Linked DNA regions of Neodiprion lecontei. The protein of the gene in region 1 interacts with the protein of each later gene in a biochemical or structural test. Links are inferred from orthologs where the notes say so. Each region holds a gene or a part of one and is shown on either strand. Other genes may lie near its edges.

The links.
Region 2: of the proteins of G1/S-specific cyclin-E (region 1) and late histone H1-like, one has a biochemical effect on the other in vitro, tested with the Homo sapiens proteins (4 studies listed by BioGRID). The link is inferred for Neodiprion lecontei from reciprocal best matches to the Homo sapiens genes CCNE1 and H1-5.
Region 3: of the proteins of G1/S-specific cyclin-E (region 1) and E3 ubiquitin-protein ligase ariadne-1, one has a biochemical effect on the other in vitro, tested with the Homo sapiens proteins (3 studies listed by BioGRID). The link is inferred for Neodiprion lecontei from reciprocal best matches to the Homo sapiens genes CCNE1 and ARIH1.

What each region holds. Positions count from the first base shown.
Region 1 is NC_060260.1:36,153,368-36,157,122, reverse strand, and holds the start of G1/S-specific cyclin-E, read left to right. Parts: upstream 1-984; 5' UTR 985-1,794; coding exon 1,795-1,808; intron 1,809-2,880; coding exon 2,881-3,529; intron 3,530-3,755. UniProt on the Homo sapiens protein: Essential for the control of the cell cycle at the G1/S (start) transition.
Region 2 is NC_060262.1:40,413,442-40,417,196, reverse strand, and holds late histone H1-like, read left to right. Parts: upstream 1-1,406; 5' UTR 1,407-1,548; coding exon 1,549-2,241; 3' UTR 2,242-3,701; downstream 3,702-3,755. UniProt on the Homo sapiens protein: Histone H1 protein binds to linker DNA between nucleosomes forming the macromolecular structure known as the chromatin fiber. Histones H1 are necessary for the condensation of nucleosome chains into higher-order structured fibers.
Region 3 is NC_060264.1:27,113,914-27,117,668, forward strand, and holds the start of E3 ubiquitin-protein ligase ariadne-1, read left to right. Parts: upstream 1-906; 5' UTR 907-1,034; exon of another isoform or gene 1,035-1,055; intron 1,056-1,105; exon of another isoform or gene 1,106-1,342; intron 1,343-1,502; exon of another isoform or gene 1,503-1,997; 5' UTR 1,998-2,276; coding exon 2,277-2,486; intron 2,487-3,356; coding exon 3,357-3,530; intron 3,531-3,622; coding exon 3,623-3,688; intron 3,689-3,755. Other genes in the region: serine/threonine-protein kinase ULK3, read right to left, coding at 1-109, 292-378. UniProt on the Homo sapiens protein: E3 ubiquitin-protein ligase, which catalyzes ubiquitination of target proteins together with ubiquitin-conjugating enzyme E2 UBE2L3.

The DNA.
Region 1 (3,755 bases):
TCGTTGTTCAATAACTTCTTTCTACATCGCTTAATTTTTTCTCTCGCTTATTTTTTTTCATCTATTCCGACTGCAGTTACTAAGATACTAGAACAGATTCACAGGCCATCTGTTTACGGAGATATGCCGGCAGACGTAGGCGTTCAAAATTCACGCTCGGTCCAAATTTCAAGCCAATGTCACGGGCACTCTAATGTCAAGGGCCTTCCGTGAGAGGATGAATAATGGTCGCAGGATACCCCCAAATTCGTGCTCCGTCTGAAGACCAATAGTTCTACTAATTATATTCCGTAGACAGCGAATACTGTAGCAACCAATACATGTATATTTATAGCATAATAAAAAATTTAAGTAAATAAATTTGTAGCGTGATATGTTGGAATTTGTTCGAGAACTCTAAAAATTTGCCGTCAATTGATGACAACTCAATTTAGTTGAATATATTCTATCGTACTATAAATGACTGCAAACCGACAATCGAAGAATGCAAAATAAATCGCTTACGCAGCTGTTAATGCTGTTATGATGTAACAAGTATCGTGTCCCTAATTGGCGATAATTGCATTCCGGAAAGAAATACATAGCGGTAAAACAAACCTCATTTGATGGATGAAGTTGATGGTAATCTATGGGGAGAAAAATTTCGCGCGCAATTGTACGTGCATAGATTGCATACGAGTATTATCGTTTAACGAATGTAGTTGAATGATTAACTCTGTTGATAAACGACGGGATTGTAAATAGTAATTAATGATAGTGAGTGTGGTCAGTAAAGCCGGTAAAGACCCCACCTAAAGAATTGGGGTACGTGGCAAGATATCCTTTGACATCTCGTTGGCGGGCCGAAGGTATTGCAGGCTGAGTTTACGCGCGATATTTCCCGCGCCCGCATCTATGTGTTCGCTTATGCGTAGTGAGAAGTCGGCTGTGTGTGCGCGGAGAAATCAGCTGAGCGCCAGCTGTCTGCCAGAGTTCGACCAATCCGGGTTGTTCCGAACGATGCACTCCCGGCAAGCGCGTCACACAACCGGTCATTCTCCCGCAAACGCGCGATGGTGTAATACTTGCATTTCGGTGAAAACTGCAATCGTGTTAATTTTCAATCGTAAGATAAAGGTTCACGGATTAGCGGTGGTGCGTTAGAGTGAACTGTGTATGTACTCAGTGACAGAATAGTCGAGAATATTGTGTACGTTGTGAGTGATGAATGTGACCACCATCGGTTCGATTAGGTTGGATTATATTCGCGATTTAACACGAACGCGTCGTTTTTATAAGATAGGATATTGACGTTACTGATTTTGACGTCTTATTCTAAGTGAGGTGAAAATTTTTAGCTTTTTTTTGAGGTTATGTTGTGTGTACAGAGGGCGTGACAGTACCGAGCCGCCGACTAGGGGTTGGCCACCTTTTCGCGCGCTACTCTCCCGCGCTTTGAGAAGAAAACCTCCTCGATATTTCATTAGAAATAAATATTCCAGCCAGTAGGTAGCGGCCCTAACCAATTATGCAAACTTTTAATAATATTGCGAACCATTCCAAGCCCTGGTAAATAATATTTCGACATCAATTTGCCAGAGTCAACGTAGAGACTGTGCATTATGGCGAGTGTGTAAAGTGAACTCTGCATGCACGGACCTCCTGTAATTTTCTATTTTACTCTGGATATTCCATAGTGATTTTTAATTATCCGGTCTCCGAATATTCTATAAGATCCGCTCGATCCGTTAAAAAAATCAATACGCACCTGGATCTTCGTCGTTAGATAAAATACGCCACCAAACGACGAACAAGATGCCACAAACGAGGTAGGTCGACGAACGCCACATTTACACCTCGAAAAATATTTTATCTCACCAATTAATTTAACTCAGATCCCATTTGGATCGTAGTTTAATAATCCATAGAAATTTGCATAAAATTTTTATCAATTTTATATATAAATATTTTATTCCGGTAAGAGGCTCGACTTTCCGAAAGTAAGGTTCTATTTATTTGATTCTCTTATTATTATAACGATTAAACCTTATTAAATTCATCTCTGAGTCTGAACAATGTATTTCCGAAGAAGTTTCTATTCTTCCAACAACGTGGAGGTCACGAAAAATCTTCCTATTGGAGGTGTTCCAGTTACTTGCAAATGGCTGCCATTAAGTGGCTCAGGTTTTTAGGGTGAAAAACCCACTTAACTCACTGCAATAAAACTGAAAATCAATTTGATCGATTACCAAAGTCATTCTCCAAGAAATATCTTCTTTTCATAAATTTCTGACAATTTTTCGATACCTTCAGAGTCGTGGAACCGAACCTTTGACGTCTCTCGTCACTGACACATTTTTTTACAATAACTGTTCAACTTTAATTAGAATTTAAGCAAATATGAGGCGTATTTGTACCAGTGTGTCTTGATGCACAGATCAAACACTAAAAATTTGATTCTGATAAGTAAACATAGTCCAAAATTTAATCGAGAAAGCTCCGCCTTGTTGGATCAGCATTCGCCAATTTGTTGGGTTTTAGAACGTCACCCTTTGCAATTGTATATAAATTTATAATCAGCATCACAGAGTATTCGATATAATGATTGAAACACCAGCTTTTTTATGGAATATTATTAATTTTTCTATTAGTGACATTGCTTGAATATCGTCAAGTCAACTTGATTAAATTTTCAACACCTGATTACCAAAGCCTCGAATATTGGACAACAACATTAAGATTATCTCTACTTGTGCTTTTTCAAGGAAAGTGTAGAAAGAATTACACAGTTTAAAATGTGATTGAACAGGGAATGGATCTCGTAATATCTTAATGTAGAAATGTTGAACAAATTTTTGGCCAATAACAAACGATCTAAAACGAAATATTTCTCACGTTCAGCTTGCAGGAAAAGCAGCCATCACAGATTTATCTGCCAACAAGCAAGCCACAAACTCTGAAACGTAAACGTCGAAACACAGAGATCTCTGAGGATGCAGAAAATATTTACCCACCTAAGAAGGTCCCCTCGATATCTTCTGCTCATACACCATCCAATGAAACTTGCCACTCGACTTCAACTGCAGATGGTCTTCGTACTCCACAGCAGCAGCAGCAGCAGCAACAGCAACAACAGCAACAAACCTCACCTTTAACAGAGCAGCAGGACCCAATTAGCTGGTCCGAACTCAGGAATGCAACTTGTTTCCTGACACCATCTGCGTCCAACGGTGGGCCCAACAGGCCCAGTCCACTTCCTTCCTTTCCTTGGGCGGACGGGTCACAAGTATGGTCGCTGATGTGCCTAGGGGATCAGAAGTCTTTGACTCAAAGGGATCCTCAGATGTTTCAGAGGCATCCCACTCTGCAACCTCGAATGAGAGCTATTCTGTTAGACTGGCTTATCGAGGTCTGCGAAGTTTATAAGTTACACAGGGAGACATATTACTTAGCAATGGATTTCGTTGATAGGTATCTGTCGTCTCATCAAAATGTCCCCAAAAACCAGCTTCAACTTATCGGCATTACTTGCTTGTTCATTGCTTCCAAGGTGAGTTTCTAGTATTGCGGTCACGTTCTAGATCTTTAAAGTCTCATTGCTCATTAATAATTTTTGGCCTGTAAGTTATGCCTTACTTTTATGAATTCACAATTAAGTTTTGGACTGCAGTATTTTGTTTCCAGTATTTTTGTAGTTGCTTGAATTATTTGTAATAAATATTACTGGGTTAACCTACAAATTGGTAACTCGTATGCTTTATTATTTTTCAGGAAAT
Region 2 (3,755 bases), on another chromosome or scaffold:
GATTGAAGTGCACATGTATTTCATCGAGTATTTGTACGATAACAGTCAAGTTGGGGAAAAAAGTGATTAATACACCCGACTGTTAAATTGGTATGAGATGAAGATTGTATATTATCCGGAATAGAGGAACGGACGTCCTACGGATTATCTAGGACAGAATATAACGATACCCAAGGGCTAGCTGCAGAAATCAGGTCATACCGAGTTATCTAGCATATCCGGTATTTCGATATACCGGTTTGAAATGTATGGCAGTAGCGTAACAGTCAGTTAATGGAAAAATACTGCGCATTTGTATACCCGCTCCATTTTTCTTTATTGCAACTACGTCGTCCCAGAAAACAATTTCGCTAACCTTCCCTTGATCAACGCTGACTTCAAGGTCATAAGACGGTTCAAATTCAAACTTAAATCGGACGCATAACATTTATTCGTGAACCATTTATCATACATATACAAAATGTAGAGTTTCTTGGCATACAAGCGTACGTTCCACATTTACACGAGTTTTCAACGATTTAAAGAATCCCTGATTAATCCACCGCAGTGTAATGATTTACTTCTTTCTTTAGCTTTAACAATAAGTAAAAGCCACCTGGCCGTAATTGAGTTGAGAATGTTGTGATTATCAAAATTTCTGGAAATTCGATGCAATACTTCCACCATCAATACATGCAGAAAATTTTCCTTATACACAAATCAGCTGCTCCGCGTAATGTCAAACTACGCAGAACCTCGACTTGCTGGATACCTTGGGCCGGTCCTAGTAGCTTCGCACGGTGTCATTACGTTCAAATTTTCATTAATTAGACATCCGTTACCGTGAATGTGTCCAGAAATTACAATTTCCCGACATTGTCACCCAGGTCGACGTTCCTCGGCACTGCTACCGGGTCGACATTCGTCTGCAAAAAGCAGGTCTAGCTCGTCGTAGACTTAGTCGCGACCTCCCGAATTTCAATCGCTTATATCACGGAGACAAGTGCAGATACGAGGTTCGGCTTTTGCATGGAACTAGAGCAAAGCTTCGAGCTCACACTGGTACATTGGAAAAGATTCGATCGCATCCCCCCAGGTCAGCACCAGGGCGACCGTTGCTCAGGGTGTGGTCGATGTCAAGACGCACGCTTCGCGGAGAGTGATTTTTACAAGGGATCCTTTACCGCGACGGTTCAAAAATCTTGCGTAGTCGATAGAGCATACTTCGTAGTACCTGGTAGCAACAGGAGGTCTTCAGGAGTTCGATGGCGACAGTAAAACACCCGAGGAAATACCGTTCGGTCAGTGTCGCACGCGCGAACGTCGCGAAGCGCACCGCCTAAAACGCGCTCACGGTCTCTCTCCATGGTCCGCGCTATCCTATACTAGCAAACTGTTGCTCAGATTTTTTACGAGTATTATCCATCTCAACTACCAGTGTGATCATACGCGCAAACGCATTAAACAGTATAAACTTTACTTGTGTCTCTGACGGTCTTTCAGCTGTAATTTTCCATTGTCAGTAGTGGTGTTTTGATCATTTCATCGCGACTACTAGATCGATCAGCTATGGGAGACAAATCAGCATCGTCGCCGGCAGTCGCAGCTAACCCTGCAGCTAACAGCCCAGCCGTTCAAGCCGTTCCTGCCAAAAGAGCAGCGGCTTCGCCCAAGTCAAAGAAGCCCCGTGCAAAACCGGCGCACCCACGTACTTCCGAGATGGTGAACGCGGCTATCGCTAGCTTGAAGGAGCGCGGCGGATCGTCTCTCCAGGCAATCAAGAAGTACGTTGCTGTCACGTACAAAATCGACGCGGAGAAACAGGCTCCTTTCATCAAGAAGTACTTGAAGACTGCTGTTACTACGGGAGTATTGTTGCAGACTAAGGGTAAGGGAGCCTCGGGCTCTTTCAAGATCGCGAACGCGAAGACCGACGCCCCGAAAGCAAAGCCGAAGGTACAGCGCGCCGCTGCAAAGCCAGCTGCACCAAAAAAGGCAGCTGTTGCCAAAAGCCCAAAGAAGTTGACCGCCGCCAAAAAATTGGTAGCCGCAAAGAAGCCTGCAGCCGCTACGGAGAAACGCAAGGTTGTCAAGAGCCCGGCCGCAAAACCACCGAAAGTAAAGACTCCGTCGAAAGCAAAGAAAGCAGTCAAGGCACCTACCCGCAAACCGAAGGCTCCGAAGCCGAAGAAGGCTGCTCCAGCTCCAAAGGCGGCCAAACCGGCAGCCAAGAAGGCGGCTGCAGCACCGAAGAAGAAGTGAACAGCTACATTTCGTCACCAACACCAGCAATCGTCAGAAAAATAATTTAAACGGCCCTTCTCAGGGCCATCAATTTATATCTATGCAAATGAATTGACATCGTCGATGCCCTGAACCATATTCCAATAATCCCATATAGGTATATCCCATGGAAAAAACGTCCATAAATTGTAATTTCCTTCGCAGCAGAGGTATTTGTACGACCATAGTGGACGCATAGAGCGTCGGCTTGAGTAAGAATTTGCATTAGGTTTTGCTGTTAGGTAATAGTATCTTGCACAGTTGCAGCTGATTTCCGGGATATTATAATTATTTATTGTTTAGGTCTGAACCATTGTTGGAATTGTAGCGGAATCGTGTTCCGTATATCTGCCGGCGAATGGGAGTCTTAAGTGAGGTGGGCTTCAGTTGCTTGGCAACATTTCAGTGTTCAGACCCTTGCTATTATTATACATGAGCCGAGTGCACAATGCACAATCCCGGAGTTCCTGAAAGACCCCGTAGGAAAAATATCAGCTGCTTGGTTATCGTTATTCAATTCTGACAGCTGCTGTAGCAAAGGTCAAAGGGGTATGTATGGTATGTATTTGTGTAAAATCCTGTTCAATGACGTCGAACATTGTTTTTCGGTATTTTGAAAAAATGAAGATCGATTTTCTCTCAACTGAACATTACTGGTATAACATTGTTTTTTTTTCATTCTCCCCTAAAAAACGAGAAATTGCGCGAATGTCACGGCTTTGTTAGAAGAGGTTAAAAGGCAGTATCGAAATTATCTTGACGAAATACAGTTTAATCTGACAATTATTTCGTTCATCTATAAGATGATGTTTAAGCCAGGGTATCCAGCGATATGAAAATTCAAAATTCCCGTATATTTGCTGTTATTTTTTTCAACCGTATAGCGTTTGTGCATTATGTTGCGATCAACATTGAACACCGTGATATTCAACGGTGTAGAACCGATGAATTCGGGTGGAGTCAAAAATGTAGAAAAATCAGAAAATAAAAAGGTCACACATCGAATTTACAAACACATGAAAGTGTATTTCGTAGGATTTCAAAATATATAAAGCTGAAGTACAAAAAAGTCAAAACGAAAGGTAAAGTATTCTATGTATATCTGGCTGTCTGATGATTGCTCCGATTTTCCGTGAGAAAAAAATGCAAGGTTTGGTATTTGGGGTTTTGCGTGTTGCAGCACGTTGACTCGATGATATAATATATTATAGGGGGTGCCCTGGTCGATTTCGACGTTGCCATATGTATCTCCATCTATCAAAGTCCATGTACCTTAAAAGGACTCAACAGCCACATTCCATATGTATTCACAATTCCGAATAAAACGTTGATTTGATGCAGAAATACAGAAGTGGCACAGATTCTACAATATTGCAATAGTAGATTCGTAGAATTCATGCTGCCTCTTAATTGCGGCATAAAGTGAAAATGTATCGAAGTGATTTTGATCAAAATACGTATAGAATGGAGCACATTGAGCTCTCTTTCACCGT
Region 3 (3,755 bases), on another chromosome or scaffold:
GTTTCAATATTTTTAATAGCCTTATCTCCGTGATTATGTTCTCTATAGCAGACTTTGACAAGGTTGACTTGTCCATCGATTTTATTGCGACCACATCCTTAGATCCACCCTACACAAAGGATTATTAAACTCTCGAAGTTAACGTCGCTATTTTTTGTTCTTTTTTTTTCTTTTCTCATACGTTTTTGCGTCCATTTGATCATTGTTTCTCTCATCACAGCCTTCCATATTGTATACATAATAATACATAACGTAACATAGTATAACATAACCTCAAATGTACACACGCACTTTTTTGAAGGCTTTGTAAACAGTCGCGTAGCTTCCAGAGCCAATCTTCTCGAGGAGCGAGTAATCCTTGATGGTAGGCAGACTCATGTTTGTCCTTATCGAATTTCAACTCGCAATTAACCAGCGAGGTTTCGCGCGTTAGCTGCTCGTCGCGGATGACAGGTACGAGCAGTGCGAAATTGTCCGCATGTTATTAAACGAAAAACGCGTTAATAATCGATCTTCGACTTAGGCGTTTCACGTAGTTGGCGTAAGAAGGCGCCTACCGACGAATCACAAAGCCGTTTATCTGCAGACCGCAGTTCCGCTGCCGCAACTCGCGTCGACGCGCGCGATTTTCCTCTTCTCGTTTCTCGGAGCGGTAGTTTCGTTGTTTTTTTTTCCTCTTGCTTTTCCGTATTTCTTTTCAAAGTTCACAGTGAAATTCTGCGTAAATTTTCGCCTCCACGCTCCTATAATCCCGAGACCCTATCAGCGTCGACGATACCGCGACGATATATCGAGAAGCGAAATAACACTCGATATCAACAGCGGACAGCATCGGTCAGCATCAGCAACACCACTCCGGGATGACGGACGTGACTCCAGCAGTGGTAGCAGAAGTGAAATGAGCTCGTTCGTCGCGTTGCTGTTGCTGCAATGATGGGGCATGGTGGGATGTGGTGCGAAAAAAAAACGGAATGCGAAACGTCACGTCACCAAACCGCGCTCATCATTGGTCCTGACAAATTTAAAACCGTCAGGTATTGGCCGCGGCTTGAAAAGTAGGCGCCCCATATGCTTTCGCATGACAACTTTCCAAACACGCCGTGGCGTGGCGCTAGCCCCCAGACTCGTTCTGCGCGTCTGCCATTAGTGGATCAGCTGCCGAATATAAGCTCGAGTGTTTTTGGCAGCTGATTTGTGTATTCTTAGAGCCGTTGCACGTCGCGATATAGGTTCGATTAATTCTCCAGCCCTTTGTCCTGGAGACGGGACCCCCCGTCGGATCACCCAAGGGGTTAAAATAACGCCGCGACAAGGCCCCCGTGTCTCGATTATCTGTCACTAGGTAAATAATGATACCAAGTGCCGTGCGCTCTCTGCGTGCATATGTATAATATTGGTACACCTACACAAGCATATATTACATACAAGTATGGGTATACACATGTGTGTACCTCCTACGGTACGTTCGTATAAAGTTTCCCGTGATTCTCTGCGCGTTTCAGAACCCAGCACTGCTCGCTACGGTGACGTCATGTGCTGAAAGATCGTCGCTCGCCCGCTCGCTGGTTCTCCGAACAACGAATAACACAGGTGCACGGCACCAGTTTCGCCTAGCTAACCCGTTGCTGCAGTTGACGAATCGCGTTAGCTGCCTTTGTGTCGTTTTCACAACTATTCCCACCGTTCTCTGGGCTCGCAATACAGCGAAATCTAAATTCGTCGGGGGTCATCCCGCGGTAAAGTGCGGATCACACAGAATCCGTTTGTTCGCACATATTCACTAGGTGGTAGGGTTCCCGTCTAATCTCGAGTCGCGAAACTAATCGCGGCATTGTTTCACCCTTTGATTCTATTTAGTTTTGTTCCTTTTGTTTAGTTTTTTTTCCCTTTTATTTATTTTTTCTATTCGTTCAGTCGTACGTACTACCTGTTTTGCTGTTCTCCTACACCTTCAATTCCCATTTGTCATTATACTTATCGAACTGTTTCACAAACAGTTTCGTGCTGGTGTTGGTGAACGGATAAATATCTCAAACCGACGAGAGACACAGACACAGACGCATCTTACAATAAAAAAAAAAGGACAATTGGTCTACGCGCGTGATTTGGAAAATTTATACTCGAAAAATCCATTCGATCGTATCTCTGTTCGCTATCCATCAATCACGACGGCCACGGTGAGCAGAAACGGGAAGAACGTGCAATCAGTCTTCTGAGGAGAAAATCACGCTATAAACAAAGTAGCCCAGCAAAATACATAATAAACCCCGATAATAATGGATTCTGAGGAAGAGACACCCTATGACGACGTTGATTCGGGTAACGAGTCCAGCGGTGATGACGTCGATTTCGCTATGGACATTGAGTCCGGGAATCCCCGCGAACGAGCCACAGATATTGACGATTATCCTTTCGAGGTTTTATCGACCGAAGAGATCGTTCAGCATATGGTGGACTCGATTAAAGACGTAAACACCGTCGTCGAGGTGAGTGATTTCGGTCATTGAATTCGTTCCTCCGCCTTCGCAATCAGTCACGTCAAAACTACACGAGGTTGAATTCAGTAACGTTATCGTAACGAACCATTGCAGAAAAGTCACTATTTTCCTAATTTTACAATGATTTTGAACGAACCAAGATTTCGAAATGTGAGTGTGTTTTGTTTTATTACGGTTTATCGAATTTCAGACTATTTCAAAATCGCGATATAACTGCTTTTCCTCGGCGTGAATCTTTACGATAACGTTACTAACTTCAATGTGATAAAACTACACATATATTTTGCCGTTGACCAAAGAAGAAAAATCACATTTTCTCGGGAACGAAATTACAGAAACCTCTTTATATAAACCTTTTTATCCTCGATAAGTGATCACTGATCTCTAAATCGCGGTCGTTCGTCCTTTGTTTATCTCTCCCAACTCCTATTTTCGATCCACTCGCCGTTTTCAAGACTGCTTCTTTGTCTTCTCCGGATCAGCTGATCGCCTTCATGCTTGCTTGTATGTATTATGCGAGTTGCTGCTGCAATTTCACCTTGCAAGCTATAAGCGTGTTTGTGTTTTCTTTTTTTCCGTCTTTTTTACTCCCCCCACCCTTTCCTTACAATTTTCGCATTTACGAATATCTGGCAAAGGAGAGAGAGAGAGAGTGAGAGTGAGTGAGTGAGTGAGTGAGTGAGTGAGCGAGTGAGTGAGTGAGTGAGTGAGTAAGTGAGGAGTGAGTGAGTGAGGAAACAACTCGTGTATTTTATTTCAATGGAATTGACTACTAGAAATGAATTACCATATTTTTCGAATTTCCTTATTCATTTTGTTGAGTATGCAATTTAACAGGCCTTTTTTGTACCGTTTTAGATACCTGCAACCACGACTAGGATTTTACTTAATCATTTTAAATGGGACAAAGAGAAATTAATGGAACGTTTTTATGACGGTGATCAAGAAAAATTATTTGCAGAAGCACGCGTTATAAATCCTTTTAGAAAAGGACCCGTCATTAACAGGACCAGATCTTCACAAATATCTCTGGTAATTGATGAAAAATCTGTTGAAGAACATTCAACTTTTGTCGTTTCATTCTGTTCAACAACTTTTCAGTTCTTGGTTCTATTGTTTTTCAGTCTCGACGAACTTCTACAAACGGAACGGAAGAGTGCGGCATATGCTTTATGACATTACCATCGTCGGTGAGTGATGCAATTATTGTTTTGAATGACTCAAATCATTCAGAGCATTTTTGCAGCAGTTCTTTCA